Arabidopsis thaliana: one gene and its partners. The protein of the gene in region 2 interacts with the protein of the main gene of each other region in a pairwise test. Each region holds a gene or a part of one and is shown on either strand. Other genes may lie near its edges.

Evidence for each region.
Region 1: the proteins of AT2G31040 (region 2) and AT3G50910 interact in a two-hybrid assay, tested with the Arabidopsis thaliana proteins (one large-scale study listed by BioGRID).
Region 3: the proteins of AT2G31040 (region 2) and AT2G46550 interact in a two-hybrid assay, tested with the Arabidopsis thaliana proteins (one large-scale study listed by BioGRID).

What each region holds. Positions count from the first base shown.
Region 1 is NC_003074.8:18,913,482-18,924,922, forward strand, and holds AT3G50910 (netrin receptor DCC), read left to right. Parts: upstream 1-5,845; 5' UTR 5,846-6,305; intron 6,306-6,703; 5' UTR 6,704-6,707; coding exon 6,708-7,473; intron 7,474-7,848; coding exon 7,849-8,271; intron 8,272-8,363; coding exon 8,364-8,518; 3' UTR 8,519-8,820; downstream 8,821-11,441. Other genes in the region: AT3G50880 (DNA glycosylase superfamily protein), read left to right, coding at 28-849; HB28 (homeobox protein 28), read left to right, coding at 2,939-3,688; AT3G50900 (uncharacterized protein), read left to right, coding at 4,641-4,985; LPPepsilon1 (Phosphatidic acid phosphatase (PAP2) family protein), read right to left, coding at 8,922-9,149, 9,252-9,325, 9,411-9,636, 9,741-10,052.
Region 2 is NC_003071.7:13,207,979-13,218,807, forward strand, and holds AT2G31040 (ATP synthase protein I-like protein), read right to left. Parts: upstream 3,211-10,829; 5' UTR 3,035-3,210; coding exon 2,726-3,034; intron 2,648-2,725; coding exon 2,598-2,647; intron 2,502-2,597; coding exon 2,405-2,501; intron 2,326-2,404; coding exon 2,230-2,325; intron 2,073-2,229; coding exon 1,992-2,072; intron 1,825-1,991; coding exon 1,733-1,824; intron 1,648-1,732; coding exon 1,555-1,647; intron 1,450-1,554; coding exon 1,381-1,449; intron 1,282-1,380; coding exon 1,116-1,281; 3' UTR 941-1,115; coding exon of another isoform or gene 689-940; 3' UTR 646-688; downstream 1-645. Other genes in the region: AT2G31035 (oxysterol-binding-like protein), read left to right, coding at 689-940; AT2G31050 (Cupredoxin superfamily protein), read left to right, coding at 4,172-4,774; EMB2785 (elongation factor family protein), read right to left, coding at 5,518-5,601, 5,731-5,781, 5,886-5,969, 6,044-6,094, 6,229-6,315, 6,439-6,488, 6,798-6,871, 6,973-7,152 and 10 more. UniProt on the Arabidopsis thaliana protein: Facilitates the assembly of the membrane proton channel of the chloroplastic F-type ATPase. Specifically required for the efficient assembly and integration of the CF(0) subunit c into the chloroplastic ATPase complex in the thylakoid membrane.
Region 3 is NC_003071.7:19,108,648-19,119,251, reverse strand, and holds AT2G46550 (uncharacterized protein), read left to right. Parts: upstream 1-5,045; 5' UTR 5,046-5,260; intron 5,261-5,779; 5' UTR 5,780-5,794; coding exon 5,795-6,988; 3' UTR 6,989-7,291; downstream 7,292-10,604. Other genes in the region: AT2G46560 (transducin family protein / WD-40 repeat family protein), read left to right, coding at 1-1,191, 1,283-1,339, 1,679-1,966, 2,043-2,216, 2,325-2,548, 2,709-2,842, 2,943-3,164, 3,255-3,433 and 1 more; AT2G46540 (fiber), read left to right, coding at 7,571-7,649, 8,012-8,094, 8,530-8,565; AT2G46535 (uncharacterized protein), read right to left, coding at 8,932-9,003, 9,099-9,554.

The DNA of each region.
Region 1 (11,441 bases), on a different chromosome or scaffold from region 2:
TAACAATTAACAAACTCGGCCGTCGTCATGTCTCTCCGTAAAACCCTAACCGCCGTGAATCAATCTTCGTTACCGCCGGATTCTTTAATCTCCGCCGGTAATCTCACTGTTTCAGAGGTCTCTGGTTCATCTTCTAGAATCAGATTTCGTCCTCGTAAAATCAGGAAAGTTTCGTCAGATCCGTCGCCGAGGATCATTATCACCGCGTCTCCTCCTCTATCAACAAAATCGACTGTTGATATCGCTCTACGTCACTTACAAAGCTCCGATGAACTTCTCGGAGCATTAATCACAACGCACAACGATCCTCCACTGTTCGACTCAAGTAATACTCCGTTTCTCTCCTTAGCGAGATCAATCCTATACCAACAACTCGCGACGAAAGCAGCGAAATGTATCTACGATCGATTCATCTCTCTATTCAACGGTGGAGAAGCAGGTGTTGTTCCTGAATCTGTGATCTCACTCTCCGCCGTTGATCTTCGTAAGATCGGTGTCTCCGGGAGAAAAGCTAGTTACCTCCACGATCTAGCTGATAAATACAACAACGGTGTGCTTTCTGATGAATTGATTCTGAAAATGAGTGATGAAGAGTTGATTGATAGGTTAACTTTGGTTAAAGGAATTGGAGTGTGGACTGTTCATATGTTTATGATCTTCTCGTTGCATAGACCTGATGTGTTGCCTGTGGGAGATCTTGGTGTGAGGAAAGGTGTGAAAGATCTTTATGGTTTGAAAAATCTTCCAGGTCCATTGCAAATGGAGCAGCTTTGTGAGAAATGGCGTCCTTATAGGTCTGTTGGTTCATGGTACATGTGGAGACTAATCGAGTCTCGTAAGACCAAATAGCACCTGCCTGGTAATAGTTTAACAATACCTCTCTTTTTAGGTTGATAGTAACTAGAATTGTTATGTTACATAGACAAACTTGATTCTTTATAGAATATTTCATGCTTGACTTGGAAATTTGAACAGTTACATGATTAGAAAGGATAGGAGTATAACATTTGTTTGACATTAAGTTCTCTGGATTGGTTTTTGTTTGGAATGCTTTCTAGAAGTAGAAATCTCCCAAATCTTAAAACAAGAATCATAAAGTATTTATCTTTTCTTGATGTATCTTGTTTATCTAGCAATAGTATCAATCCTAGTAAGTAACATGACGATACTTTATCACTGAAGCTTCTATATCTGGTAGTTATCGTTGAAGTGTGATTTGTTGCAATCAATCATTTCAGTAATCGGGCAGTTAATATGATCCTGTGACGAAGAAGCTTTTCCATGCCCATCACTTCCTTTCCAAGTTTCACTTGCTGGTAATCTGAGTTATTTTGTGTCTGTAAATTATGGAGCACGTAAGAAAAATCCTTCTTGTATTTTAACTGTATTCCACGGATTATATTTCTGTGACTGTTGTAAACATGTATCATGTATGGGGTTTCATTTGACTTGGATATTGAGAAGCATGGCTTATTTACCAAGTCTTTTGTTTCTGTCTTGTACTGGGCTTGGCCCAATGTCTCATCCGGCCCAATTGATCAAGTGGTAGATAGCTTGGATCTGATTTTGCCAAGACAGATGTGAAATCAACCCTTGCTTTCTTTTAACTTAAAATAGTTATAGGAAGAAATTACTCTTATTCAGAGAGACGAATTTAAAAGTCTAAGATGTCACGCGTAACATTCAAACCTCTTAATAAAAGTTTAGTATATGGCTAATCTATTCCCGTTGATTGATTTCAATATTTGGTAAGAAATGAAGATGATCATAAAAGTGCTACACAGCTGTGGGAAACAAAGAATCTGAAAAATGAGACATGAGGCATGTGGAGATAAATAAAAGTGCAGGTTTTGTTGTGCTTATGTGGACCAGCTTTTCATTCTTTCACACTTTTAATTCTTCAACCCTCCCCACCAGAAAAATAATTTATCATGTCTTCTCTTTCAAGACTATCATTAAACTCTGATTGTTAAAGCTTATTTCATTAAACAACTCTATTAGAAACCCTAATTCCATTTGTATGGGAAATTGAAGCTATAGTAGTTAACTTCTAACTCCATGCAAACCATAAATACCTCTCATAATGATAGTAAGAGTATTATTTTCTCATTGATTATCACAATAAATCTGATCAAAGAATTTGTGGAGATCGATAAATAAAGATACTCCTACTATTATTATGACAGCATAAAGGATTGACAAACATTGTTGTTCGAAGTTTTAATCTATTTTATGATATGTTAGAACTTAAAATCATAGTCCTAAAAATTTATAACTAACAATACATAAGACATAATTTTAACTTACATTAGAAAAAAGTTTTGAAAACTAACCCATTTAACTAATTTAAAATAATCCCATAACTTTCCTCTCATTTATCTCTCTCTCTCCACTCCTCAAGTCTGTACTTAGTAGGTAATAGTTTGACTAAGCTAGGTTTTTTTGCAGACATACATTAATTAGTAACACCATCAATAATCATCATAAAAGAAAATAGAGAGAAAGAGAGATAAATGCAATAATGGGAGATGGACCAAAGGTGCAGGTGGTGAAAGATAACAAACATATGACAATGTCTCGAAATTAAGAGGCACCACCACACATACACACACACTCTCTCTCTCTAGTAGGTTTGTGTTTTTAAAATCAATATTTTTGTTGGATTCTCATGTGAAATAAAACTTGATGGGTGATAGGAAACAAACACACATACGTCATCATCATCCTTAATTTCTATTTCTCCTTCTTCTTCATCATCAATATCAATCTCATCTTCCACTACTCCTCCCCTCTAACAATAAGCAGCATCTCTATAATCCCTAAGGTGAGTCCAAAAGTCGTCTATTAATTATTAAAGGAGAGATTTTTGCATGCATTATTGAATGATTTATAAGTATTAATATTTAACAAAGTTTTGTTGTTTTGGGTCAGATTCACAATGGAGCTTGGAGGAAAATGCAATGCAATTACAACCACAACAATGATCTCAACAGAAGTAAAGCCACATACGGATCCGGAACCAGAAGCCAAACCCGAATCAGATCCATCCATGGCTTTATTCCCGATCAAGAAAGAAAACCAAAAACCAAAGACACGTGTCGACCAAGGAGCTAAGTACCGGGAATGTCAGAAGAACCACGCGGCCTCAACCGGAGGACACGTGGTGGACGGATGCTGCGAGTTCATGGCCGGCGGAGAAGAAGGTACACTCGGTGCTTTAAAATGCGCCGCCTGTAACTGTCACCGGAGCTTCCACCGGAAAGAAGTGTACGGACACAGGAACAGTAAACAAGATCATCAGCTGATGATAACTCCGGCGTTTTACAGCAGTAACAGCTCGTACAAGCCACGTGTAATGCATCCAACGGGTGAGATTGGACGGAGGACTTCATCTTCAAGCGAGGATATGAAGAAGATTCTGAGTCATCGTAACCAAAACGTTGATGGGAAAAGTTTGATGATGATGATGATGAGGAAGAAGAAGAGAGTGAGGACAAAGATCAATGAAGAACAAAAGGAGAAGATGAAGGAATTTGCAGAGAGATTAGGGTGGAGGATGCAGAAGAAAGATGAAGAAGAGATTGATAAGTTTTGTAGGATGGTGAATCTGAGGAGACAAGTTTTTAAGGTTTGGATGCATAATAACAAGCAAGCAATGAAGAGAAACAATAGTAACATTAGTGAATAGTTTGATGATCTGATAAAAGTGAAATAAATTTTTACAATCCTGTTTTGCTTTTATATATAATTTTTGCCCTTCAAATTATTCAAAATCTTGAGTATAAATCTGTGGAATCTTGTATGTTTTGATTGTTTTATATTGTATCTGGGATTATTTTTTTCTTTTACTTAATTTGTGGTTGAACAAAGTGATAAAATTGGACCTTCAAATAAAGAGGGAAAAACGTGTGTAATTAATAATTTAATGCACAAGTATGGTTAGTACAATTAGCTGGAATAGCTCAGTTGGTTAGAGCGTGTGGCTGTTAACCACAAGGTCGGAGGTTCGACCCCTCCTTCTAGCGTTTTTTATCCTTCAAATGGCTGTTTTAAAATTCTGATTCATACTTTTTTTTTTCTGTCTGAATAGAAAGTTGATTTTGTTTGAAAAATCTGATTCATAATCATGTACATGCATGATAACAGTCTGATGTTAAACCATCGTAAGGAGCAGATTTAGCATTCTAGAATAGATCTATTCTGCTTACTTTTACCCCAAATTTAGATTTTTCCATGATTAATATATTGTTAGATATGGATCAGACAAAGAAGATTAGTCTAAACTCTAAAGCCATTGTCCATTTGATTTGTCTAAAAGATGTAGACGTAATAGTCAGCATAAACACACATTTGACCGGCGATTTAATAGGGACGAACAAGAAGATGTATACATCATGTGGGTGTAACACTAACACATGCTTTATTAATTACATATACAAAAATTTAATTTAGTTAGTTGGAGATCTCATACACACAACAATAATTAAAATAAAAGTCAAACAGATCTACTATTTTCCTTTTCATATCACAAAGCAAACTTGTCCTACTACTTAAATCAACACCATCACGAAGAAAGTTTCAAGAACTCACCTAAAACACAAACAAAGGAACTCCACTTTTTTTCCACACCACATCACACCATGTTTAGAGCCATGAGCACAAGGAAAATCCATGGTGGCTACGAAAAGCTCGGCGATGAAGAAGCGAGACTGAAGAGGGTCTCTAGCGTTCCGGCTAGTGTTTATGGTCATTCAAGAAACCCGGTTCAAGAAGTGAAGAAGACACCGACAGCGAAACCAACCGGTGGTTCTGTTCATCCTTTGTTTAGTTTCTTTGACGTTCATTTTCAAAGAAAGAAGAAGAATACGGCGAAGAAGAAGAGTTTAGCAACGGCGAAACCAGAGTTTGCTAGGTATATGGAGTATGTGAGAGAAGGAGGTGTGTGGGATCCGAGTTCTAACGCACCAGTGATTCATTACAGATAGATTCGTCAAGGAAAATGAATAAAAGATTTGTATATCGTCTTTTTTTTCCAAATATATAATCTATGAGAAAGCCAAACAATCCTTGATTCGATTCGAAAAGATGCATCAAACAATGTATTAGTCATTTTTGCACGAATTGATGAGTGTTTTGTACACTCTCATGGAGATTCCGTGAAGAATAAGATAAGTTCAAGGGTCTTGACTTTAATATATGATCAAAAAGTTGATTTTGGTTTTCTTATTTAAAAGGATATGTTATATGAACTGAATCAATTCGTAGTAGTTGCTAATATAGAAGCGGTCCCAGAGCTGATATCTTTGAATCATGTTCTATATTCTTCATTTCCCACCTTAGCTTTTATTTTAAGAATTCAAAATCAAGTGAGAACAAATTCAAAATAAAGTGAAGAAAAATTCAAAATTTCCAGTAACAGATGCATATTTGATTTTCCCTTTTCATCAAAAAATAAAGTTACGAATAAAATATTATTATATTAAGGAGAAAAAAATAGATATGATCATAGTCTCATATTTCTTGTGAAGACCAGTTTTTTTTTAAAACTATATTGTTAACCAAGTTTGAATACTCGCTCTTTATTAAAAGCGTGTTCACATGGGTCACGTAACACGTTTAAGAAAAACCTGGCTCTAAAAATATTATCAAAATCCCAGATTTGACGAAGACAAGAAAATAAAAAAAGACTTTTAAAATCGTTTTCAAAATGGGCTTTACAGATTCGTGAACAGACAAAAATTGGGCCATGGGTTAATTTGCTTTTTAGGCCACGTCACCGTTTTAGTGACGTTTCTGAATATTCGAGATGTGACCCCACTTAAACAAGATCCCTTGGACGACGTCGTTTCGACCACTTCACGAAACCCTACCGTCGATTTATTTACACAAAGTACCCCTTCATTGTATAGCGCCGTCCTTTGCTGTAACTCTTACCGTCAAAGGTTATATCCGTCTTTCCAAATGTCTCCCAAAGACACGTTTTAAAAAAATAAAAATAAAACGAAGAAAATCAGAAAATGGGTCGCCAAGAATAGAGGAAGAAGCAAAGAAGAAGAAAAAAAAAAAACAGAGCGTTTCAAATATTTGCGGAGATACAAAGCTGAGAAGAGATAAAAAAAGCCTTGGAGAAGAGGTTTTCTTCTTCTTCTTCTTCTTCTTCTTCTTCTTCCCTCCTCTCCTCTTAACGATGTCGTATCACGCTTCTTCTTATCTTCTCCGCCGTCGTCTTACTTCCGTATAACCTCGATCTCTCACCGTTGAATCTTCCTCAGCTTTCTTCCGTGGAGATCTCCTTCGCGCTCGAGGTAAATCCTTCTCTTACGCCTCCGGATTTGATGTTTTCACCTTTCTCTGTTTGTTGTTTCGGTGAAATTTCTGGAAATTTTCGTTATGGTAGGTCTGAATCTCGAGAGATTCGATTCATTTTCATCGGCTTGACCTATTGTTAGCTTCTAGATTATCAGATTTGTGATTTGATTTTGCTAGCTTCTTTTTTTCGTGCGAGAATTGAATCAAGTTTTGTTTAGGTATACCGATGATTGTGGTTTGAGCACGCGGTGTTTGCTTTGTACCTTCCCAATAGCTAATTCTCACTTATGCGAATGACCATTGTTGGTTGATTTCTGATTCGATTGAAATGAAGAAACGCTCTTTGTGGTTTCGGTTTTTTTTTATTACTAATTTGATACTTGAATGATTGCAGAGCCATGCCTACTTTTTCTGCTATTGCTTTGGATAGAATGCTAGAGCCAGGGGCTTCCACGTCTGTCGAGAGTGTTCCAAGCACAACTAATTTGTTTTATTCAAAGCCACCGATATCAAAACTGGAGAAAGGTAAAGGTAAATTACCTAATGAGAGGACAGTTACTCGTCCTCTGATGTCACCTGCTCTCTACGCCACACCTGATGCGATTCCGCTTCCTAATTCGCCATCGTCTTTCCCACCGTCGCCTTATATCATCAACCACAAATCACGTGGACCTCCACGTCTTCTTAAAAGCTCTTCTGAGGCTAATGTTGTGTCTTCTTCCCACCAGAAGACGCTGGAAGAGGAAACTATTACTGCTGAAACAGATGTAAAGGTTTCCCCTCGGAGGAGGTCCACTTCCTTCTCGTTTCCTATCACTGAGGTTACTGAAGATGATTATTCCAATGGAGTTCATGCTCGTACGGTTGGAAACTATAATTTTGATGGTATTGTTGATGGTCCTGTTGGAAATTGGAGTCCGCTTGATGGGAAAAGTGGGAATGGGAAGTCAGAGTTGGATAACGCTGCTAATGGTTTAGAACGGGTAAATGGTCTGTCTGAGCCAGTCCCTATTAAAACAGACAAGGAGAGTGAGTCAGAAGATTTCTATGACCCAGGTGAATCAGCAAGCTTCACAAGTAACACAGACGTAGAGGGTGATGCTGGGGACGAAAGTTCACAAAGACTTGCCACACCTGTGGGAGAGTTTTATGATGCTTGGGATGGTACTTATCTAAATCTTATTCTCTTACTAATCATTTCCTTATGAGATGGCTGTCAATGCTTATGATCTTAACGTTCCCAGGATAATATGATTAGTCACATTTTAGAGTCCCTTCTTTTTAACCTTTGAGCATTTGAGGGTATTCTTTCTTTAATATGCAGTAGTAGCGCCTTGTCATGCTTTGGAATTTTGTTTTCTTCTGGATATATTGAAATTTGAAAGTGATGAGTTATCTTTCCAAATCATGATGATTAATGCATTATTCATTTCCCTTGATGAGTATCTGCAAAGTATCCTGAAAGTTAAGCTTTAACTCGACTCTATGATTCGGAACTATTTAGTATTTTGTAATCCATCTAATTTCTTGGTTTTTCAGAACTATCAACCGACAGTGGAATGCAGAGTTCAGTTAATAACATCGAATCTGAATTAAGTGAGATAAGGCTGAGTTTACTAATGGAAATCGAGAAGAGAAAACAGACAGAGGAGGCTTTGGAGCAGATGCAAATTCACTGGCAGAGACTCCGTGAGCAGATGGCTCAGGTGGGTCTGTTCGTTCCTATTGATCCTACCGCCTCCACCAACAACATGAATCTATCAGAAGAACTACGCTGTCAACTCGAGATTGCGAGGTTTGTCTCTGACTCTTTAGGCAGAGGTATGGCAAAGGCCGAGGTAGAGATGGAGATGGAATCTATGCTCGAAACTAAGAACTTTGAAATCACACGGTTGTCTGACCGTCTACACTACTACGAGGCCGTGAACAGAGAGATGTCTCAACGAAACCAAGAAGCCATAGGTAGTAGAAAATCACTCTCATTCACCAAATTTATCCATTGTCATTTTCTATCGTATAATAAAAATCTAATCTCACAACTCTGTTGATACCAGAGGTGGCACGACGAGAGAGGCAGAAGAGAAAGAAGAGGCAGAGATGGATTTGGGGATCAATTGCAGCAACCATTACTCTAGGAAGCGCGGCATTGGCATGGTCTTACATTCCTGCAGCCAAACCATCATCTGAAGTATCTCTTAAGGATGAATGATTAAGTAAGTCTCTTGTATACGTAGTGGGTTTGATGCAAGCAAGAGAAATAAAGATACAGGACGTTTAGCGTACGCCTTGTGAATAGAAATATATACATATTTGGTTATTGTTTTAACTGTTCTCAAGAGGATGTATAGCTCCGAGTAGCTGCAAACACATTTTTCTTGCGGTGGCATACTGATGAGTGGCAGCCACAGTCACTAATATTTGGTTCGGTTTGGTTCTTATTAACATTCAATGTTAGCTCTAGTGTAAGGTGCTTGCCTTGCTTACATCTTAAAGAAACCTTATTTTTTAAAATCTTGATTTTAACAAACGGGCTCTGAATCCTTCATTTCGATATTTTGAAAAGAATTTGAGGGATAACAATTTTAAGCTTTATAAGTAAAGCTTGGTATTGCTTATCTCTCGTCTTTGAACCAGTTAAGTACAACGTACGCTGCGAAAGCTAGCGCAAATGTAGCTGCAAACAGAAATACAGATATTTGCACTAATAGAGATGCCTCGAAGGCTTCACGAAGAAGCGAATTCCACATTGTGTACCATAAGATGCAGAAAAGAGAACCAACAATGGCACCCACCACCACTTGACTGCTTGTGTGCAGTTTTTGAGAAACCCTTAACCGTATCTGTGATAGTGCAGAGAGTGTGAGATCAATGGCAACTAAATGATTTCATATATGAATGAAAAGCTTGAATCAATTAGGTGAAACTTGTTATAACAGACTTACAAAGTATGAACCCAATGCGAGGATTAAGCCGCTAAGAAACAAAGACACACCGTTGGTTCCAAGCCATTCCATAACTGCAGAAAACACGACTCGAGTGAATCCGTTGTAAACAGTTCCACGATAGCGAACGATGAGTAGTGAACAGCTTAAGCTGCTTACCGGATAAAACAGCAAAGACAGATATGAAAGAAATGGATTGAGCATGAGAAGATGGCATCCCGGGATCAGATCGCAATGTTGTAGTAGGCCTCTCTTGGTTAAGTATACGTTTAAGAACTACAGAGAGAGCAGAATTCGAAATCGATCCAATGACTGCCCACAAGGCTGCACCATCATGTCGCAAAAGAATGATTGAACCAAATAGAACAGACACAACCCATTTGCTCTGTCATCATTAATTAAAACCGGTCAGAAAGAAACACACATTGATACTGAAGAAACATTTCATCGAACACATTGCGTGCATGAATGAGATTTCCATTAACTAACCAGACGATTAACAATGGCTTCAATCCCACCGCCGGTGACCAAGTCTTTCCGTATCTCCGATGAGTTGTTGATGAAAGATTCTTGCTCCAACGCTCCAAATTGTTCGTTACCGTCATTGCTCCTGCTTCCGACTCTGCTAGAGAATCTTTTAACGGTCATAGATCCAAAGCTAGAGACAAACAAAGGAGACCCACGAGAGATAATCGAACTATAGCTCGAAAGTCTCGATCTTTTAAGGTACGAGGAAGAGTCAAAGTAGAAATTGCAGGTGGGACAGTGAAGAAGAAGAAGAAGAGAAGACGACGCTGCCATTTCCAAAAGGAAGATAAAAGTCAACGTAGTATCAAATCCATCGCTAAAGGAAGTAAAATTCGTAAGACGAAGAAGGGAAATATGCAAATCGAAGAAATCAATGTCTGGTTGAGAACAAGAACCTGAGAGAGAGCTTTCTTCTTCAAATCAATCTTCAAAGTTTTTTTGCTCGAAAACGAGTTTGTTATTTGTTGTTTACCTTGACGCATTTTATAATATCGTGACCACTCATATTCTTCCACGTGGCATGTAGAATAAACGGGTAAACCAATATTGAAGCAAATTAATGGGCTTTTGTTTCCTCAGCTGAGGCCCATATATTAATTAAAACCATTCTTAGTTTGATGTAGCATCAGGTGATCTGGAGTGGCTTCATGAGATATATGTCTATGGGCTTAGTTTTGTAGCTCTTTTCATTTAGCTTTTGTACAAATCCTCATTAGTTTGTGCCCAAAAAAAAAAAAAAAAAAAAAAGTACAAATCCTCATTAGTTTAAAAGGCATATGGTTGCCGAGAGGATTTTTTGTTTTGTTTTATGCTTCTCTTGTAAAATGTTGACATGAAAAGGTGAAGAAATATTTACCTGATGTTATAGAAAAGTTGGAATATTGTTGGAATATCACATATTTTTAAAAACTTATTTCATATTTTTTGTATCATTGTGTATATTACAATTAACACATTTGATTAGTTTGTTTAATTAATCTTTTTCATTAAAACATAATTAACGAAAATTATATTAATCTACATTATTAAAAAGAAAAAAAAGTTATCAAGAGGAACTTTTCGGTTTCTTTTCATGTTATTATTTCACAACAAATTTACATATTACCGCTAAGTTATAATGTTTCACGGTCTTTACGGATGAGTTATAATGTTTTACGGAGGAATTAAATATTGCTTCAATAATAGATCAACGGTGACAATGTCGTGTACACGTCGATTTATTCGGAAGAATATTTAAATGTTTCACTTTCAGCGTTTTAGAACAATGTTGCTTTATGTGGGCATACATATATAAATTAAATATGGAGGTCTAAATTCTTTGTTACCGTTTTGTGTAAAGAATCATATCAATTTTTTAAGCTAAACTAGATCTATCGGAGTTTTCTTTTTTTATATACAATTTGGGAGATCTATTAGAGTTATGTGTAAAATATTCATATTTATCCTCGATTGTGGCGATAAATACAGATATACGGTCGCAAGGTATGGAAACTACCGTGGTCACATCAAAGATTTGCATTAGCCAAGTTTTTTTTGGTTCTTTCTCGTAATTCCAAAAAATAAAAAATACTTTAGGACATGGAAAGAAAGAAAGAACGACAAAAAAAAAAAAAAAAACTTTAGAACATGGAAAGAAAGAAATTTAGTATACAATGGGCAGAG
Region 2 (10,829 bases):
CCTTAAAGGATTAGGTTTGGTATCTTGTTATATATAGTCGATAGCTTTGTAAAGGCACGGCATTATTTAATTAAATCAAAGAGCATTTCAACTCTTAAATACTTGTTGTGGCTAGAACTTGAGAGTTCTTAACGGAATAAGATAACATAGATTCTTGGACATTCTTAGACTAAACAAAAATATATGTGTTATCTACACCATCTGGTATCATAGCCATAACCTTGATTTTTAAGCTATACATATGTATATACTAATGAGAACAAATAAATGATTGTTGATACAAAAAAATTATATTATATTTTCTTCTGCTTGCGATCTACCATAAAACTCTTAACACTTTTTTTTTTTTTTCTTCTGGTTGCCTAAGGTAAAACATATATCTACTACAACTATAGGAAATTGTGCCTTAACACTATACTGTTGTTGTGGCATTCACTTTCTAAGATAGAGAACTGGAAAACTTGAGTCATGTAAAATGAAGCAATTTCAGGGATTCAACTTTATTGTTCAAATAATAACCAAATCTGGTGGTCCATTTACAGTTTTTTACATGCATACATGTTTCGTGATTTGACCATTAATTATCATTCACATGATTGTTCTCTATATAAACCATCCATCACCCTTATACTCTTTATTATTCCTATCCAAAAAGCAGAGTAATAAACCCAAAGACAATAATAAAGAAATGGAAGCTAGAGTAATTTCTTGCACTACTTTTGGAGACGACAAGGTCGTCAAGATTGCAGTTCTGAATCATCAAGCAGTTGCCAAATATGAAACGGGAGAAAACGAAACGACCGTTGTTGTTTCCGATGATACTTGCTCGGAGAAAGATGTCAAAGAGATTAAGAAGTGTTGTGAGAAGCTCGGTTATGTTTACGAAGGCAAACTCAACGAAGAATACACTCAAACCAACACTGGACCCGGTTTGGTCTAAAAATTTCAAAGTCATTAACTTTCTATGTTTCACTCTTTCTGCATTTGCTTTATATGTTCTAGCTATCTATCTCTTGGTGATTTGCTGGTATGAATGAGTTTATGAGTTATTAGTTTTTATTACATTAACACTTCTGTGTTTAATTACATTTCTTACAACACTGACCTTGACCTTATTAATCACTGGCCTGTGTGTCTGGAGAGATTGATTCGGGTTTTTGAGTAGTAATGGAGATGGCTTCTTCTATAGCTTGAAAGAACGTAGCAATTTTGTAAGTAAAGAACCCAACCAACATTGGTATCAACTCCAAATGCATGAATCCATACTCAGGAACAAGTATTCTGCAATATATGAAGAAGTCACAAGTAAATATGATTGATGTAACCAAGTTGATTTTGGATGAAAGATATATAATGCAAAACGGAGAGAGAGGTGCTTACGCGTTCCATCTATTGAATATCATAACCAACACAACGGGGACTAGTAACCGTGGCTGGTTAGCTGCACCTCTATAAAATCAATTCAGTAAGACCAAAGAACAAAAGAGATAAGTGAGTGAGTGAGTGGTCTCAACATAGATAACTGATAAGAATTTGAAGAGAAACATATAGTACTTGGCAACTCCTCTGGCTCCATCTGCCATGGCATCTACAGAGTTACCAAGCATCCTCATATATGCAAGTGAACCCAACAAGCCAGCACCAAAACTGTAACAAAATATTCAACACAAATTAAGATTGATTTAAAAAGTCCTTAACGAGATTTTGATGTTCATTGCATGAGAAGACAAACCTAAGTGCTATCTCTGGGGTGTATGAGATATAAGCTGAGACTAAACCAACACCACCAATACCGAGTGTGAGAACCTGAATCTTATTTTTCAGCTGCAGAAAACAATCCAAAAGTCAAGAGACTAGGAACTGAATGCTTCAAAAGTAACGGAGTTGCCCATGAAGGTAAAGAGTAGTGCTTATACAAGCTGCCTTTTCATGAGATAGCAATACATGATATTTGTCATACCATGAAAGGATTAGCTAACCAAAGAAGGTACCTTAAAATATTGTTCCCTGTCTTTAGCAGCTTGTACTTCTGGGTCACCACGTGGCCGTCTCAGCTCCCTAAACATCACATCCTGCAGCACACATTAGAAATGAAGGAAGGAATTAAGAACCAAGAAGATCCATTTTTGCCAATTCTGATCAATGTTTACAATGAAAATGACATTTCAATTGGTATAGAATTAATAAATCAAAGCACAAGTGATCCATCAATTGCAAAGATAAACTTACACTGCCACCAGTTGCAGCCTTCGTTGCTCTATCCCATTTCTCTTGCTCACGACGTGTAGGTGCCAGCTTCCATTTAGGAGACACAATAGCCTTACTCTAATGATATTGACAAAAAAGAGTAAACTTCAGAGACATAAAGAAATAGCAATGTGGCTTTGTCAAATTGGCTTCTCACCATTTGCTTTTTAGCTTCTGACTTGGAGGTGTCAAGACGATTTTTCACAACGGATTTAGAAGACGATGCAAGCTCTTTACTTAAATCAACATCCATACTAATTTTCCACAGATAACAACAACAAACAAATCAACCATTAATCAAAATGCAAGAAATAAAAAACTAATTTTTATCAGTTTAAAGGAGAATGAACCTGTCAAGACTCATAACTCTGCTAAAGCTCAGAAACCCAGAAGACTTTTCCTGTAAGCAATCACAAAACCTTAAAGAGATTTAGTGAAACCTTAAAGTTGAGCTAATTTGGGGGGATAAAGATTGAACCTTTGAAGGAGATGGGTCGAGAGAAGAATCATTAGGATCATCAAACAATTTCTTCATTTGATCCATAAAATCTCTGTTCCAGATTAAGTCTGTGGAAGTAATGGGATCTTCTTTTTCACCTCCCCAGTACTTTCGGAGCTTGGTGGTAGTCGGAGGACCACCGTACTCTCCGGGAGCAACTCCGGTGGACCATTTCTCAGGTTTCTTATTGGGTAGAATGATTTTGGTTGGTAGACGAGAATTGGGAGATTGATCTTGAGGAATTGGTGGTGTGGTTGATGTTGCTGAGATGTAACTAAGAATCGCCATGGATGAGTTTTTTGTGGAGCTTATGACGCACCTGATGTCTGATGATGATGAATGATATTGATGATGATGATGCAAAATAAAATAAAAATCTCAGCTTGTGGCAATTTTGGACTTCGTGATATTTTCATTAAATATTCCCACCAAAAAAACAAACATTTCATTAAAAATTTGAGAAAATGTTACAAAAAAGGAAATTCGGAAAAAAAAAGATGCGAAAATGGAATCTTAACTTACAATAATTAAAAAATAAATAAATAAATAAAAATAAATTAATTAATTAATTAAAAGAAGATAATATCTTTTGTATATAAATCCTAATCGTTGTATGTGTGTTAAAGAATACTCCTTCCGTCCCACAAAAATAAATTTTTTAGGAAAAAAATTTGTCCCACAAAAATAATTTTTTATATTTCCAATGTAATTTTTAGAACTGTTTACCTATTTTACCCTTATTAAATAATTAAATAAATGGTAATAATTATTTTTAAATAGTATTAAGAGATTAAAATTGTCATTATATATTATTTTTTAAAGAATGTGAAATTTCTAAAAAATCCATCTTCATGGGACGGAGGGAGTATAAATTAGACCCTAAATATGACTCTAACAATTGGTGAAATAAACAATTGGTAAAAATTAAATATGATATTTTTCTTAAATTTGTATTAATTTTCGAAATAGTTCATTTCTAATATTTTATTACATCGAGAAAGTTTGTGTGTTTTTAAAATTTAATAAGTAATATAATTTTATAAAGATATTAATTACAAAAAAAAACTTCTTATGAGATAATTTTTTAAAAATAATTACAAAATTATTATAATCTCTCAATAAATTAATACCTTTAAGAATTAATAAATTTCTGGATATATTTAACAAAAAGGGAAAAAATGACCTTAACAATTATCACTAGGAATTATCAAAATATAATATATTTTTGATTTAGAAAAACATATAAAATCGTCAAATTCTTAAAGAGAAAAGGGTTACCTTAAACGAGACCTCGGGTCTATATAAACAACGTAGTGCTCTCTCAACTTCTCACCAACACAAACTCAAAACTTTATAATATCTCTTACATAGTTGTTTTCTTCTTTCTTTGCTGCTTAATTCTCTCGTTTCAAACAACAATCGATCATGGCTTTGATCAAAAGCAACGCCTTCTTTACTTCTTTGCTTATTCTTGTAGCACTTTTTGGAATTTCCGTTGGAGGAACCGTTCACAAAGTTGGTGACTCCGACGGATGGACGATTATGAGCGTCAACTACGAGACATGGGCATCTACAATAACTTTTCAAGTTGGAGACTCTTTGGTCTTCAAATACAACAAAGACTTCCACGACGTCACCGAAGTCACTCACAATGATTACGAGATGTGTGAACCGTCCAAACCGCTAGCAAGATACGAGACCGGGTCTGATATCGTCATTCTAACCAAACCGGGACTCCAACACTTCATATGCGGATTTCCTGGTCACTGTGACATGGGACAAAAGCTTCAAATCCATGTATTACCAGCCTCATTGGGACCTGTCGCTGCTCCGGTTCCTGGACCCGTCCGACCACCAAGCTCTTTTTCGTCTCCTTCACAGTCTCCGTTGGCTGAGTCACCGGTTAATCATGCTCCAGTACAGTATCAGATGGGACCATCACCAGCTCCACATAGTGCAGCTTCAAACTCTAATGTTTGGATTGGACTCTGCTTCCTTCCTTTACTTTCTTTGCTCATCTTAGTTTGATATATTTACACACGTTTTGTCTTTTTTCTTTTAGTTTAACTTCTTACGTACGTTTGAGACTTTGGTTTGTAGTTTTTTCTAGAGAATAATACACCCATTATTCAACCTAACAACCCATCCTCTTCTAATCAAAAACCTACTCCTAGTCCTAAGCCTTTAGAGGATCCTCTTGAGGTTCTTCCAGTAGATGATGCAACGATTGCAACACTTCCTTACAATGCGGCCTCAAGTCCTTGTGTCTGGAGTGGCTTAAGCTTGGTCTGGAGTGACATAACCAAACTGGCGACTACTGTGCGGTGGATATTTTCATGATACTCGAACTGAACATTAGTTATTAACTTTTTAAAGTTTCTACTACCATGTTATTTAACATAAATGGAGACACATGCTTTTGATGAGATAAAATTAGAACGACGATTGGAACAAAAGGAATCAGTTATAAATTAAAAATATAACTTGGGTCATGTGGGTCGTTAAATAGACCCCAAGGCCACCAACAAAACTTTCTTTATAACGATGATAAATCCGGTGGTCCACAATGATAATACAGCATCGGGATCGATCTATCTTCTTATTGTTATCAATACAAGAATGCATCTTCTTGCGTATAAGTTACGAATCTAGTATATAATCTGAATGTTTCTCGTACATATTCAATAATTTTCTTTTTCTAGGATTGTGACAAGAACTAAACCAGCTTCCATAAAAATTGTACCAGAGAGTCAAGTGTGGAAGATAACTTTTTAGTCTTTGGCTCGTTTGCTCTGGGATTTACGCTTGTTAACGTCTAGACATCTTTTCCTCAACCGAATCGTCTTTGGTGTCACCTGACCACATTAAACCAATAACAGTACAACATTAAACCAAGAACAGTAAATGCATAGGAAGCCGGAAACAAAATGTTCGTCATGGATAATATGATTAGCTAGATTTGGAATTGGTGATGAACAATGTACCTCTATAAGCTCATCTGAGGCAACGTATCCTATAGCTTCCTCAAGTGTCATCTGAATAGACAAGAATTCAAAAGTTAAACCACAAAGGGCAAGAAAATTTTCTGATCAAGAAAACAGTTTTCTTATGTCATGTTAAAAGAGGAAAGGGTACATACAAGACGAGGTGGAGATAGCTTCACATTTTCGTCTTTCCCAGCAGAGCGAATGTTTGTAAGTTCTTTGGCCTTAACTGGGTTAAGCTGCAGTGCAAGGGCAAGTGAGCTCATGGCATTTCGACAATTTAGTATGAAGAGGAGAAGTCGAACAAACTTACATCAAGATCTGTTTCTCGTGAATGCTCACCGATAATCATACCATCATATGACTGTTAAAGACAGACAAACAAAAGAAAGTGCAGCATTAGCATGGATCAAACGCAGAAAGACCACATCACCTGTTCCAATCAAGAACAGCTAAACCGAGAAAGATATTTCTATGTCATATTTAGATGGTTCTCACATCCAGCCCCGGAGACACAAAGAGAATTCCACGAGCTTCCAAACTCATCAGAGAATGAGCTGTGATAGTACCACGTGCCATGGAAACCTGTTTCATCAAGATAAATAAATAAAAATAAAAATTTGAGACTACATACAAATTTTTATGAAGGAAAAAAGTCAAGGGAAAGCAATCTCTTATTGAAATAAGAGTAACAAGCCATAGACATACCAATACTCCTTTCCTAACATTTCCAAGCGGACCTCGGTACTTTTCATAAGCTGCAAGAACGCGATACACAAACAGCAATCAATTGAAGAAGAATGTAATAAAACGTAAAACCTAAGATGCTTCTAACTACCAGACAGATATGTTTGGATCTATGATGAATCCTCTTGCAAGAAAACTAATGATATCTGAAGCTGAATTTGTGTTTAGCAGATATATGCAAGAAATATTATTTACATAGATGATTCCTTTAGAAGAGAAGTCAACTGAATTGATGCTTATGAAAGAAGAAAACATTGAGAAAATAGATGGATAAATAGCGGACTGGAGTTGCAGTAAATGCAAGTAGAAAAGTTTCATACTTAGGAAAGCACGATGCATGAATCCAGTTCCTCGTGTGTCGCTGCTAAACACACATCTGTACCCAACCAGACCTCTGCAGAACACAAGTATACGTAGGTTATATTTCTTCATGGGGAATGATTCAATGAGCAGCAAGCAAGATTTTCTAAAAGTAATTAAAAATAGTAAGCTAACCTTGAAGGACAAGTTAGTGACAGTCTCGTCCTACCCTCATTTCCAGGGACAGGGCCCATGTCAATAACTTCCGCCCGCCTGTGGGAGAGAGCTTCCATCACTAATCCTACGTGTTCATCATTAATCTCAATAGTCACCTCTTCAATTGGTTCAAGCTTTTGTCCCTTTTCAGTTTTATACCTGAACATAAAGGACAAACGCTCAGAAGTCAGACGAAGAAGTACAACAAAGTTTGTAGAAATAAAGACACTATAAAGGAGTTTTTCTAGGCTAAAAAGTAATCCATAGTCGAACAAACAATAACCAAGTAATGTTTAGTGTAATAGTAACAGCATAGAAATCAGGTAACTTGGTAAAAAATAAAAGAATTCTTCTATTGCTTTATGACACAAACTGGTAAGACCCTTTTCTTCAAAAGCCCACTAAGAACCTCTACAACTACCAACATCTAATAACCTCAACAACTAACTCTGATTATACGACGAATATAGTATGTAGTGTAAACAAAGAGATGTGACTAACATGACTTTAGGTGGTGAGACTGAGAGCTCAAAACCTTCCCGCCTCATATTCTCAATCAAGATACCTGTTAGACACGACAGAAATTAATTTACCTGGCATAGAGAAATAAATACAGTTACGTGTTTTCTGGCGTGTGTCATACTTTATATCCGTCTTTACAGGTGAACAAACACTAAACACAAACTGGAAAAGAACAAACCAAGTTGAAGTTCTCCTCTCCCTTGGACTTCATATGACTCTGACAAGCCTGGAATAACGTTTATGGCAAGATTTGTTTCAGCTTCTGCCATTAACCGGTCCCCGATTCTTCCTCCAGTTAACTGCATGCAGATTAGCAAAGGCCTATCAACATGTGCCAGAACGAGTGGTCTACCACCTAACACAACATATTTCTTCAAATATCGCTAAGGGGGACACATTAACTTTAATGCCAGCAACATATAGGTGAATTAAGATGAAAAAGAAATGCAGTGACCCGAAGGTAAATCTGAGGATGTAAAAGTTTAATGCAGAGTAATGACTAGAGCTATATCTTGTCACTATAATTAAACATACGTGGGTGCCATCCTGACCAGCCAACGGAGAGTCATTGACACCAAACGTCATAGAAATTGTTGGTGGATCTAACTCAACAGTAGGGAGTGCAGTTGTGACCTGAAAGACAATAAAAATGAAGCATTTATTCAAGCGTCTTAATATTCAAATAGGGATCAATGGAAGAAGTTATGTTAAAAGCAGAATTCAATTATATATCTAAGAATAAAACAGGGAAGTAGTCCATTCGGATATTACCTCTGCACTAGCCACCGTGTGACCTATTGATGGAGCTGTCAAACCAGCCATACAGATAATATCACCAGCCCCAGCAGCGTCAATTGAAACTATGGTTGTACCTTTCTTTTTCATTAGCTTCACAACCTATATGAAAGATGTTTATGTCTGCTTAGATGAGAACATCACACTTCGTAAACACGGCTGACCAAGTACAAAGCAATATGCACACAAACCTTTGCTTCTTCTATTTTCTCAGAGCCAGAATCAGTTTTGCGTAGTCCATTGACTCTGTCACCAACACGGACAACTCCAGAAGTTACTCTTCCAGTTAATATTCGTCCGAGATAGAAGTCCTTCTCCATCATTGAAACCTGGAAATCAGAAGAGAGAACGATAGTTAAATATCATTGCTAGGGCTTTAGCAGTTCAGACATTTTATACCCTTAAAATAATAGTTACGTATAAATGAATCTATTCAAATCTTGGCACATTCACTACATAACATGAATACGTTCAAACTAGGAAAGCCGAAGGTCATAAACTGAATATAATCTCATGAAGTGTCCAACCAATGTCTTCCTTTCCCGAGGAAATTAGTTTGACAAAATCACTTGTTCTTTCTTGAAATTTACTGACGGATATAGTTGCTTCTAAACTCACAACAACAAGTCTACTTACTTAACAAACATTCTAAGTTCAACCGATTTTTCTCTGAAGTCTACTGTGGAATGCCAAACAGAAATCAATGGGAACTGTGTTAGTTAACCTCGTCCAAAGTTAAAGAGCACAATGCAAAGATCAGCTACTTGATATTGGACAATCAGAAAAGTGAAAGAAATTGGCCAAGCAAATTTCATTCGCTGGAGTTTTATATTACCAGCATCAGAAATGGCTCATCAAGGTTTGCTTTTGGAGGCTGAACATGTCTTACTACGGCATCAAGCAAATCTGCCATATTCTTCGCATCTACAGGAGGGTCTTTGGTATAGGTAGAAGATGCCCACCCTTCTTTTGCAGAGGCATAAAGCACCGGAAAATCTAGTTGTTCCTCTAAGTAATGGAGAAAGAAGAAATGTTGATTTAGTAATGATTTGAAAATTAATTAGAATACATATATTAAACTTTGATATATTAATCACCTGTAGCACCACAATTTGCAAAAAGATCAAACACCAAACTCTCCACTTCATCACACCTCTCTTCCGTGACTGTAAATAAACGAAGCAAGAAAAAAAAGGATGAGAAACTAAACAAATTAAACAAGACCAACAAGTTTTACTAAGAAAGGGAGTGAATGCAATGCATACCTGAAGGTCGATCTACCTTGTTTAAGAGAAGGATTGGGCGTAGTCCATACTTCAAGGCTTTGGCAAGAACAAACTTAGTCTGTGCAAGAGGGCCTTCTCCAGCATCAACAACTAATATAGCTCCTTCAACCATACCAACGACTCGTTCAACCTATAATTCAAATACACAAAATAGTCACAAAGATAGCACCTATGTTCTACAGTAAGGAGTATCCTAATGTCAACAGACCATGAGTAGGTATTGAGAACTTCTAATTAATTTATCTTTTGTCCACTAATATGCATTTCTACTAAAAACGAGCATGAGAATCAAATAATACGCTAAAAGTAAGATCAGTATCATACCTCACCACCAAAATCTGCGTGACCAGGTGTGTCTACCATGTTAAGTTCGTTGTCCTTCCAAAATATTGATGTCACCTGTCGGAAAATTTGACATAAACTTTAAATGTCGTGTAACGTGGTGATAAATAACAAAATCTCAGGGAATCGGTAAAAGAACACATCAAGTTACAGACATAACAGAACAAACTGAGAAAAAAAAAAGAACAGAACATAAATATGCTTTGATAGAGTCTCAGAATCATTTTCAAACAGAACCATTTTCAAAATTGTGAAGTAACAATTAACTCTAATTCCAATCCAAACATACGAAAGGCGATACCTTTGAAGAAATAGTGATCCCTCGTTCACGCTCAAGATTAATAGAATCCATAGCACGCTCGTGAGGGATATCAGCACCACACTGACGAAGAAGCCTGTCCATAAGTGTTGTCTTCCCGTGATCGACATGAGCTATCACAGCCACGTTTCTTAGTCGATTAGGGTCAAGCGAGCTATTAGGAGCTCCGGCTGCAGCTGTGGAAGCGGTGGCTGCTGAAAAGGAGCGTAAGGAGGAGAGCGAGTATCCGAATTTGGAAGGTGATGAATGAGAAGAGAAGGATCTTCGAGTGGTGTTTGACCAAAGAGATCGAAGCAAAGGCCCCGCCATCTTTGTTCACGCGAAATGGTCTCTGATAGGGTTTTAGATCTAATCTCTGGTGACGATGACCAAAGGGTTTTTGGTCTAAAACTGTTTGGAATTTATTTGATCGTTATTTACAAAATAGGACATTATCACTTGTAGAATCTTATATTTTCCCTATACTTTTCAATTGCTTATATTACTCCCACAGTCCTATTTGATTATACAACCATGGCTTTTATAGTTTTATGTAGAAATTAAAACCTCTCATTATGTGATATTCGGTTTTT
Region 3 (10,604 bases), 5.9 Mb from region 2:
CGTATCATTGCTGCGTGCAGTGTCACTTGCTTACACTCAGTGCCATGCTTTGAGGAAAACAAGGTGTCATCTGGACCTGATCCAAAGTGGTCCAATGCTTTGCGGTTTTACTTTCAAGGAATTCTGGAATCGTTCTCTAATTTAAGAACTTCTATAAGGCTGTGCTTGGGCTCCTCTGTGGAAGACCTGAAAACAAAACTTGCAGTTGTTCTTGATTTAGTCGAATATTGTTTGAGACTCGCAATGGCTTGGGTTCTGGGAGACGTGCATTGTCTCTTTCGAATGGTTCAGCCCCTTGTGATATCATATTTTAATGGGCATATGCCTTATGAGGTTGACCTGGAAAGTGTGAAGAGAGTATACCACCAGGAAGCTTCTGTTAGTGTACCAGATGCATCAGATGTAGGAGTTAATTCTAAGTTCAGCAGTGTTGTTGAGAATCACGGAGTTGGCTATCCAGTATACTCAATTCCAGAAGATGAAAGATGTCTGGTAACACAAGCTTGTTTCTGGAAGCATGTTTCAGACTTTGTGAAACTTAAGCTGGTATCTATTTCGATCAATCTAGATGATGGTATTTCGAATAGTGGTTCCGCTGAAAATTTTGATGCCCAGACATCATTGGACTCCAGTGATGACATTGTATGCGTAACGGAGAAGATAATGTCTGTTCTGGGAAAAACACTGATTAGCACCCTAGCTCAACTCTCTTCGTACCATGTAAAACAACTAGTATTAGTCTTGAAACAGAAACTAGAGAAGAGACTTCAGGTTCCTACCTTGTTATGGCTGCTCGAATGTCAGGGATCTCAAGCAAATTTTCTTAATCGGGATATCCCAGATGCAGGTGTAGAGACGGAAAAAAACGGTGACCCTGTGGTTTCTGTGAGGTTCTGGAAGCTTTGTGTTGATCCTCATTTACTACACGAAGCTTTCTTGTTAGAAAATTTTGACATATTTGAATGGTCAAAATCTAAACCATTGGAAGATTGGAGCGATATGTACAGAGAAGTAATCAGGAAGAATGAGCTCTATGTGCCATGCAATCAAGATGGTCGAAGTAGTAATGAGGTGGCTTCACTTGCAAACCACGCTTCAAATTCTTCACCAAAAGCTGCGGTAACTGCCAATGAAAACTCTGCGTTCCAGAACCCCAAAGAAATCCATAAGAGGACCGGGGAGCTTATAGAGGTACCTATTTTTCTTACATTGACGAACAAGTCACTGATATTGTTGAAACTTTCTTATCTTTTGAGATCGAGTATTCTAATCTTTATAACAGGCCCTTTGTATCAACGCCATTAACCATCGGCAAGCTGCATTAGCTAGCAACCGCAAGGTCAGTATATCGTCGTAATTTGCCTTTACCACTTGTTCTATCTTTAATTTCCTGTGAAATTCATAAGTTTTTGTAACTTGCCATATGCTACGCACCAAAACTTTAGATATGCAAAGATGAGTCTGCATCCTGGAAAACATCCATTAACCTTTTATCTGTATCCTGCATTCTTGCATCAGTATCTCGAGATAAAATTTTCAGATGATATTGCATGTCCCATATGAAGACCAAGTTTATGTCAATCTGTTGTTATTTTGTTGTTGCAGTGTTTTATTATGCTTAGTGGTAATGTGGCAGGAGACATAGACACATCCCTAAATGTGCATTCGTGACATGCAGGGTATAATTTTCTTTAACCTAGAAGATGGTGATTCTTCCCAAAATCAGTCAGACTATATCTGGTCAGATGCTGACTGGCCACATAATGGTTGGGCTAACTCTGAGTCAACTCCCGTTCCAACATGTGTTTCACTCGGTGTTGGTCTTGGGGATAAGAAAGGAGCACACCTTGGGTTAGGTGGGGCCACTGTTGGAGTTGTTTCTCTTTCCAAGCCTGGGAAAGCTGACAGAGTTCCTGGCTACTCTGGGTTAGGAGCGATAGCGGATCCAGGATCATTTTTTACCCAGGTCACACATAGCTAAAAAAAAAAAATTGATAAGCCAAATGTATATTTTCTCATAACATTAAATAAAATTCACGTAGATCCGCCGGTGGTTAGGAGTCTCTGGTCTAGGTTGGGAAACTCAAGAAGAATTTGAAGAGTTTGTTGATCCTCCCCCAACAGTTGAAAGTGTTATTACGAGAGCATTCTCTAATCACCCGACAATGCCCCTCTTCTTGGTTGGCTCAAGCAACACTCACATATACTTGTGGGAGGTTTGTGCCTAAACACTTGCACCATCTGTTTTAGGAGTTCGGAGTAAATGATATGACATTTCTTATCTATCCTTGTGGATCTTATAATGCAAACCTTGCATGTTACAGTTTGGAAACGAAAGAGCTACTGCAACTTATGGTGTTCTTCCTGCTGCAAATGTTTCCCCTCCTTATGCTTTGGCGTCGATATCAGCAGTGCAATTCGGTCCATTCGGACACAGATTTGCTAGCGCTGCACTGGATGGAACTGTATGCACTTGGCAATCAGAAGTTGGAGGAAGGAGCAATATTCATCCTGTTGAATCATCTCTTTGCTTCAATGGCCATGCATCGTACGTTTCATGATCCTTGAGTCTATAAGTTCTTGTTCACTAATATGCTAAAAACACATAAGTTTTAAATTATTGCTGTCAGTCATGAAAATTACCATTATTTCTCTGTTTCTTGTTCTATTGGCTTCAGCTATTCTGTTTCTGTTATTTATGGTTGCAGAGATGTAGGATATATTAGTTCGAGTGGATCCATTGTTGCAGCTTCAGGATATAGCTCAAGTGGTGCAAATGTCGTTGTGTGGGATACTCTAGCTCCCCCTTCAACCTCCCAGGCATCTATCAATTGCCATGAAGGTCCTCCAATAATTTTTTTTGTAGAAGTGTTAGTATCATTTCCCATAATCACAACTCTTAACAAGTTTTTTTTTTGTTTTGTCCCTTTTCTTCTATGAAGGTGGTGCACGCTCTATCTCGGTATTTGATAATGACATTGGTAGTGGTTCAATTTCTCCTATGATTGTGACTGGTGGCAAAAATGGTGATGTCGGTTTGCACGATTTCCGGTTTATTGCAACCGGAAAGATGAAGAAGCAAAGGAACCCTGACGGTGGATCTTCGACTGATGGAGATCAAAACAAGAATGGGATGCTTTGGTATATACCAAAGGCTCACTTAGGTGCACACCCTAAAGCCTATTTTCACCTTCATATTCCAATTTTACCGGAAAAATATCCTGAAATTTGATTGACATTGATGCAAATTTCAGGGAGTGTGACAAAAATAGCGACAATCCCACGCACAAGTCTTTTCTTGACGGGAAGCAAAGACGGAGAAGTAAAACTTTGGGATGCGAAAGCTGCAAAGTTGATTCATCATTGGCCTAAACTACACGAAAGACACACTTTTCTGCAGCCAAACTCGAGAGGCTACGGTGGAATCATCCGGGTTAGTGAACCAAATCACCTAAAGCATAATCCTTTCATCGTATTTTCTCACAGTGGCTTTGGTTTCTTAGTAAACCAGAATCAAAGTAATGTCGGTGTATGTAATCGAATTTGGGTATGTGTTACGAATTTGGTGTAGGCTGGGGTGACTGACATACAAGTTTGTCCGAATGGATTTATAACGTGTGGTGGTGATGGCACGGTGAAGTTCGTCAGCCTCGTAGATTCTTCCTATGGCGATGCTAAATAAAAAGAAGATACATTTTCCGGGAAAGTTTTGCAGTCGAGAAAACGAGTTATTGCTACCTTGCGTGTGTTTATTGAATACGTGATTTTTTGTGATGTAGTTTTTTTCTCTATATGGTTTAATATTTGTGTATATACAAATATATTAAAGATTATGAAGCAGTAGAATCTTGAGTTGACCATAATCCAGATTTTAATTTATCTTTGACTTGACTTCAATCTATACTCGGAAATATCATCTATTTATCTTTGACATAGTTTTCGTTGACTTTGTTGCATCAGATTTAGACCAGATTAAATCGGACTGATTCCAATTAGATTGGTGTTAAGTGTAGTGCAATAGAACCGAAAATAAACATTATCAAGATTTAGTTCGTTATTGTAATTTTTTTTCTTTCTTTTTGGTGTTGGTTTGGTATTAGCTCGATATAGTTTAATAAGATTATGAAAAATTGACGGCTAGGAACCTGGCCACTATCGTATTACGTAGTGGAATATTATCTTATGGTTGATTATTAAACTGCTCCATAATTTGTGTTGTAGTCTTGTAGACGAAATGATATGAATCATCAAAATGTTTGATTAAAACCCCATTTGCCAAGAATTATTCCTAAAACTATTAAGTTAAGGCAAAGGTCCATTTCATTAATAATTATTCTAAAGAAGTTAGTTGTATATATAGTATATATATAGACTATGGTGTTAATTATGACTGAATATATTAGTGCTCACATAAAGCATCTTATTAGAATATCTTAGATTGCTTAAATAATTATTAACCACGTAATAAATAAATCTCATGTAACACTATCAATTGGAGAATAATGGAGAGAGACAATTAACCATAATGACTTGAAGACACTTGGCTTCACCTAACATTCAATTTCCTAGACGAGGCCACTATTTACATTCTCTTTACCTAACTTTCAGAACTACATTAAACCAAATTGACATGTAAAAAACCTAATTTTATATTTTCAACATGTCTATTTACCATTGGCCACTTTATTACTTAAATGAAAACGATGTCATAAAAAATATTAGTAGACCCTAACTTGAAATTTAAAATTTAATCGATCATTTAAAAATCAAAATCATTCGACGCAATTACTACAAGATTTTTATGTTTTAACCAAACATTTATGACGTAATCTACCATCGCGCGTAATCGTATAGTGATAACTGATAAGATAAAAGGTCTTATCCGTTAAAAAAGGAAAGGGAAGCCTTTTTTAGATCTTCTTTTTTGTCGCCACGTGTAATTAATATCTAATCGAACGGCTGTCAGGTGAAATCTATGGGCAAATCTGTGGACTCAAATACTCATTAACATAACTATGGGTCCTCTCAGAAAACGGTGCCGTTTTGCGGAAGCTTGCGTGCTGAATGACACAGAGACTAAGAAAACGATAATAAACTGCAAAATGATTCAAAAGATTTTAATCGAAAGCAAACAAAAATTCTCTGACAATCAGAAAACAAAAAAAAATCAGAACAACTCTTATCTTCTTCACGAGACTGACTAAACAATCATAGATTTTTCCGTTTTTTGGGTTTCGTCTGGTGTTACTCTCTCCTTCTGGTTAGTTCTTTTTTTCCGAATTCTTACAAATTATTGCGGTTTCATTAAGATGAATTATGATTTGGATCACCATCCGTTGTTTTTGTGTCCGGTTTTGATTCTTAGGTCTAATCGCGTTTCATGTTTTTTTTTTGTGTTCTTCTGGGTTTGATAATTTTATAGTTGAAGTTTTATGAAATTTGATTTCAATTGCAAATAATGATGATTTGTTTAGTAAGTTGATAAATTGACAAAGAATCTGGCTTTGGTTTTTGTTTGCTTCTAAGAAAATTAGGAACTAATTCTTCAATTTACCTGGAAAGCAAAACATATCAGATTCTCTAAAAAGTAGTTTTGTAATAAGCTTTTTTGGTGATGGATCTGTCGGCAATCAGAAAGATTCTTCCTTTGAAATAAATGATTCATATTATTTTTCCTATAAATAGATTCAAAACGGTTAATAAGATTTTGCTAAATCTACCTAATTTCTAAATCACATTGATCTTGAATTGAATTCTCAGTCTCTTGTCTTATCTTTAGAGTTATGGTGAAATAATGGCAGCAGCTGAAGCAAGAGCAGTGTGGCAAAGAACAGTTAATCGTTGCTTTGTCCAAGAAGACGCTAAAAGAGCTCCCAAGTTAACTTATTGCCAATCATCTTCATCCTCAACTGCTTCTTCAACTAAGCAAGTGGAAGTTTCTGGTTCTTCTCCTCGAGTTTCTGTTGAACCACGGACTCAATCATCTTGTGCAGGTTTCATGCCTCTTCCTCGAAACCCGAATTTCCCTGATCTGTTACCCCACAACACCAGACTGTGGAGTCATCCTCATCATCAGTTTCAGGTGAATAAGAAGCAGCCATTGGAGGATGAGGTTAACAATCAAGGTGTATCTGAGAAGAAGTCTGAATTGGGAGCTGGAGAGAAACAAGGAAAGTCTTTTAATTCCGAAAGCTTTCAAGAGTTTATAGAGTTGATGGAGACAAGGGAGAGTTATGGTTCAACTGGGTATGATGAGTCCTCTGAGAAAAAGTTAAGTGAGCTCTCTTTTGATCCTAGCTCGCCGTGGAATCTTCTCTCGAGTGAGAAAGCTGCACCGTGGTGGCGAACTACGGATAAAGACGAGTTAGCTTCCTTGGTTGCACAAAGATCTCTAGACTATGTTGAGAATTGTGATTTACCAACACCGCAGAAGATGAAACGATCTTATTATGGTAGTCCACGTGGTTTTGATTCTGATGGATTGAGAGACTACTCTGTCTCTGGCCAAACCATCAAGGGTACAAGCAAAGGAAGCAGCTGCAAGAACAGACCCGAGGCTTCATCTGAGTCTGATTTAAGCAAATCCGAGCTTCTAGAAGCACTGAGGCGTTCGCAAACGCGGGCTAGGGAAGCGGAGAATATGGCTAAAGAAGCTTATGCAGAGAAAGAGCACTTGGTGAAGATATTGTTGAAGCAAGCCGCAGAGCTTTTTGGGTATAAGCAATGGTTACAACTGCTTCAGCTAGAAGCACTTTACCTCCAAATCAAGAACAAGGAGATTGACAATAAGAACAACGACGATCCAGGGGTTTCCATCCCTTGTTGGAGCAATGGCAAAGCAAGAAAAGAGGGGAGAAAGAGAAGAAGCAAAAGGGGTAAACCGAATGGAGCAAAGTACGCGGTTGGTTTAGCATTGGGGATGAGTCTTGTTGGTGCTGGTTTGCTTCTTGGATGGACTGTTGGATGGATGCAGATGCTATCGTTCTAGTTTAAAGAGAAGAAAAGAGACAAAACTTCATCTTTTTTCTCATTGAACAGCTTGATGATGTTGAAATGAGTTAAAAGATTGGCTTCGAATCAGCTTTTGGATTTCGTTAAGGAGAGAATGTAAATTGTTGTAAGAATTTTGTTAATATTGTGTTTACTAGTTTGATCTTTTCCTTCAAAAATCATATGAAATTATCTTCTTTAATGTGTAAGTAAGTATCTTTCATGTTCATGTAATATCTGCATATATTAACTACTGTACAGTGTATATGATCTTTCTTTCATGTTCCTAGAGCTTCGATTTCTTGAAAATTTAAAATACTTAGTAATTTTTTACTGCTGGAAGCAGAATGAGAAAGAGAAAGATATACAGTATATATATTTTTTAATTACGGCAAAGGTGATTATAATGGGCCGAATTGCGAACATTTGGGCCCAGTAACCCGACCCGACCGGAGATGATCTTTAATTTCGTTTCAGGTGAGAAAATGGTTTACTCAGGAGCAACTATCAATCGAATCAGACATTGACGAGGAGCTTTGGTCGTAATCCGAGGAAGAGATTAAAATCGGAAAGTGCGAAAATGCCGGTCATGGAGAAATTGAGGATGTTCGTGGCGCAGGAACCAGTTGTGGCTGCTTCTTGCTTAATCGGCGGTGTTGGTATGAACCCTAATCTCAATCTTAATTCCTCACCGATCGATCGCATTCTCTTTCTTAGAAAAGGATTTGCTTTGGGATTTATCTAGTTTCTGGAATTCCTCTTTGAATCTATAGAGCTAGTTTGCTCGATTGTAATTTGAGAATATAGAGAAATGCCTGATCCAAATCTCTCTATTCGGAATCGTCATTTCTTTGGGTTGTCAAAGAGAGTGTATTTTAAGGAGTTGAAATTAAGCTTAATTTGGAACCATGTCTTCCATTATCTCCATGTATAAGTAGCAAAAGATTATGTCTTTCTTGAACATTAGCAAAAGGCAATTGTGTTAATATACATTTGCTGATGGATTCTCTTCATCTTGTAGGACTATTTTTGCCTGCGGTTGTGAGGCCTATTCTAGACTCTCTCGAGGCTTCCAAACAAGTTAAAGCTCCTCCACTTACCGATGTATGTATTAGAATATATTTATCTCTGTGGAAATTCCTTTTGCTGCTAAAATCGTCATCTATTTCCTATCTAATGAAATGTCTCTGATGTGGGAACTCTGCATGATAGTTGTTCTTAGTATCCGTGTAGGCGAATGTTTGGACGTTTCTTTTTTTTGCTATGTGATGTAGCCTATACATCATCTCGATGTTTTGTTCCTCCTGCGTCTTCTTGTGATTTGAGAGTTCCATCTTTGGTTCATCCATGCCTTAAAAATCTATGCTTTTCATCATTGGACGAGTGTCATGATCACATTTTGTTACTGCCAAAAATGGATTGGGCATAAAAGAGACTAGTTAGTTATCACATTGCTTAGTTATCCAACGCTTTCCTATATACTCTTTACAGGCAAACAAAGGCGTCAAGTATTAACTCAGATCCAATTTGCTTTTGCAGGTGATTGCTGGTGTCACAGGGAAGAAACAGAGTTAAAACAAGCAATGACTTCCCCTGTTTTCTTACATTCAGATGATCCCTATTCCTTTTTTGTCTTTTACTCTCTCTATTCACAATGAATAAGCCAGACTCATTTGTTTGTTATGAAACTTAATATAAAGGCATGTGTGTACACTCACTTTTGTTCATCACTTGATCAGATGTATTCATTTCTTAACAACAAATGAAAAAAGCTTGAAACTTTTCTTGCCATGGCTCATGAGTCTTAACAACATTATATATGCATATCACACAGATATTAAATTACAGTAAAATTGCTAATCTTACATACACTCTTAATAGCTCTTTTTCATCATCTTGATCCCTCAATAGATAGATAGATAATGCATATTGAAAACAGGCTTAAACACTTCCACTTCTCATCTTCTTGTTCTTCCATGGCATTGCTAGCTTCAATCCCTTGCATAAACTTCCCTGCATTTCCCCAACCAAACCCGTTTCAGCGAAAGACAAGACTTGGGAAGATGAAGAAGTTATGAAGAAGGAGCGGAGAAACACAAATACTTTACCCAAAAGTGAGATCCTTTAACAGAACCACCACCATGGTAACTCCCTGATCTGTTAAACTTCATGATCTTCATGTTGTTCTCGTTGATATTATCTCCTGCTCTCTGATTCTCCGACAGAAAGACATAATTACCCCTCACAACAACATCCCCTCTCCCTTTCCTCCTCAAGAACCTCAAGAGCCCATGTTTCCTCTCGGGCAAGGGCATTTGCGTGAACTCACCAGGAAGGAGCAAACGAGGTGGCAAATCAAGACACTTGGGGTAAGAAAGAGGACGAAGAGGGTGCTTGGGCTTGCCTGGTTGGTCTTCCCAACAAAACGGAACAGAGGCAAGAGTGTGAATCGGAGAAGCAAACACACGTGGACTCGCAGGCGATGAAGTGTACAACAACGATCTTGACTTTGCAGCTAACACAAGTGCAAGCTTCGCCTTCTCTTCTTCCTTGTCTCCTCTCATTTTTATGTCTTCTCTGTTTCTTTCTTTCTTCTTCTTCAGCTTAGTCTTAGGCAGTTTCTTTTTAGGTAGTGGGAGAGTGAAGAAAAAAAAGACAATGCATTAAATATATCTCAAATCATTTGTGATTATTAATGATCCAACGGTGGTTTTTTACTGTTGACTAGATAGACAACCATTCATAAAAGTCAATACTCTTTTGTTATTAGAGGAAATTTGACTGACCACGTCACCAAATAATAGAATCATTCACCAACTAAACTGTTATTATTTGTTCTTACTATTCAAAGAATACATTGTCACTAAAGTTCAAACAGTGTTATTCTATAAGGGATGGTATTTTTACATTTTAAAGCTTCACTATTTACTATAGAGGTGAAAATAAATAAATATCACCCAACTGCTCAAGAGGTAATGTAATAGTAGTACAAGCAGAAGCAACACGTGACATAGCCACGCGCACCTAAACCACGTGAGGCACGTGAACTTAAAATGGCTGAAGGATTTTGCGCTTTGTAAACTTGAGAAAAGAGGCGCGTGAGAGACTGTTATTTGAACCATCTCTTTTTCTATTTGGTCTTCTTAACCATTTTTTTTTCTAATCAATGGTATGTATGTGATTAACATTAAATCATTTTGTATTCATGCAACTGATATACTCTACTACATTGAAGAAATTCTTGTGATCTCATCAAATTATACGAATTAAAATTAAGGAATTATGAAGCTGACGTGAAAATTATCTGCCGACAAATGACTTTATTATGATTAACGATTTTAAAGAAAGCTCAAAGTGGACCCAAAACCAAAATGTAGTTTGATCAGTAAAACATTCCCACCGACACCGAGCTTATGATTTCTTCTCAAGCTTAGTGTGTTCTCGCAAGTCTTAAGATTATAATGATGATTAATTTAGTTTAGGAAAAATTATTAAAATATGATGAAAGTGGTCTTAGGTGAGGGTTTTTGCAATAATAAAAAAGTCAAAATGTTCAATAAGACGTCCATAATAATAATCAAAAAAAGGGAGGTGGGTCTTTTGTTACGCGAAAC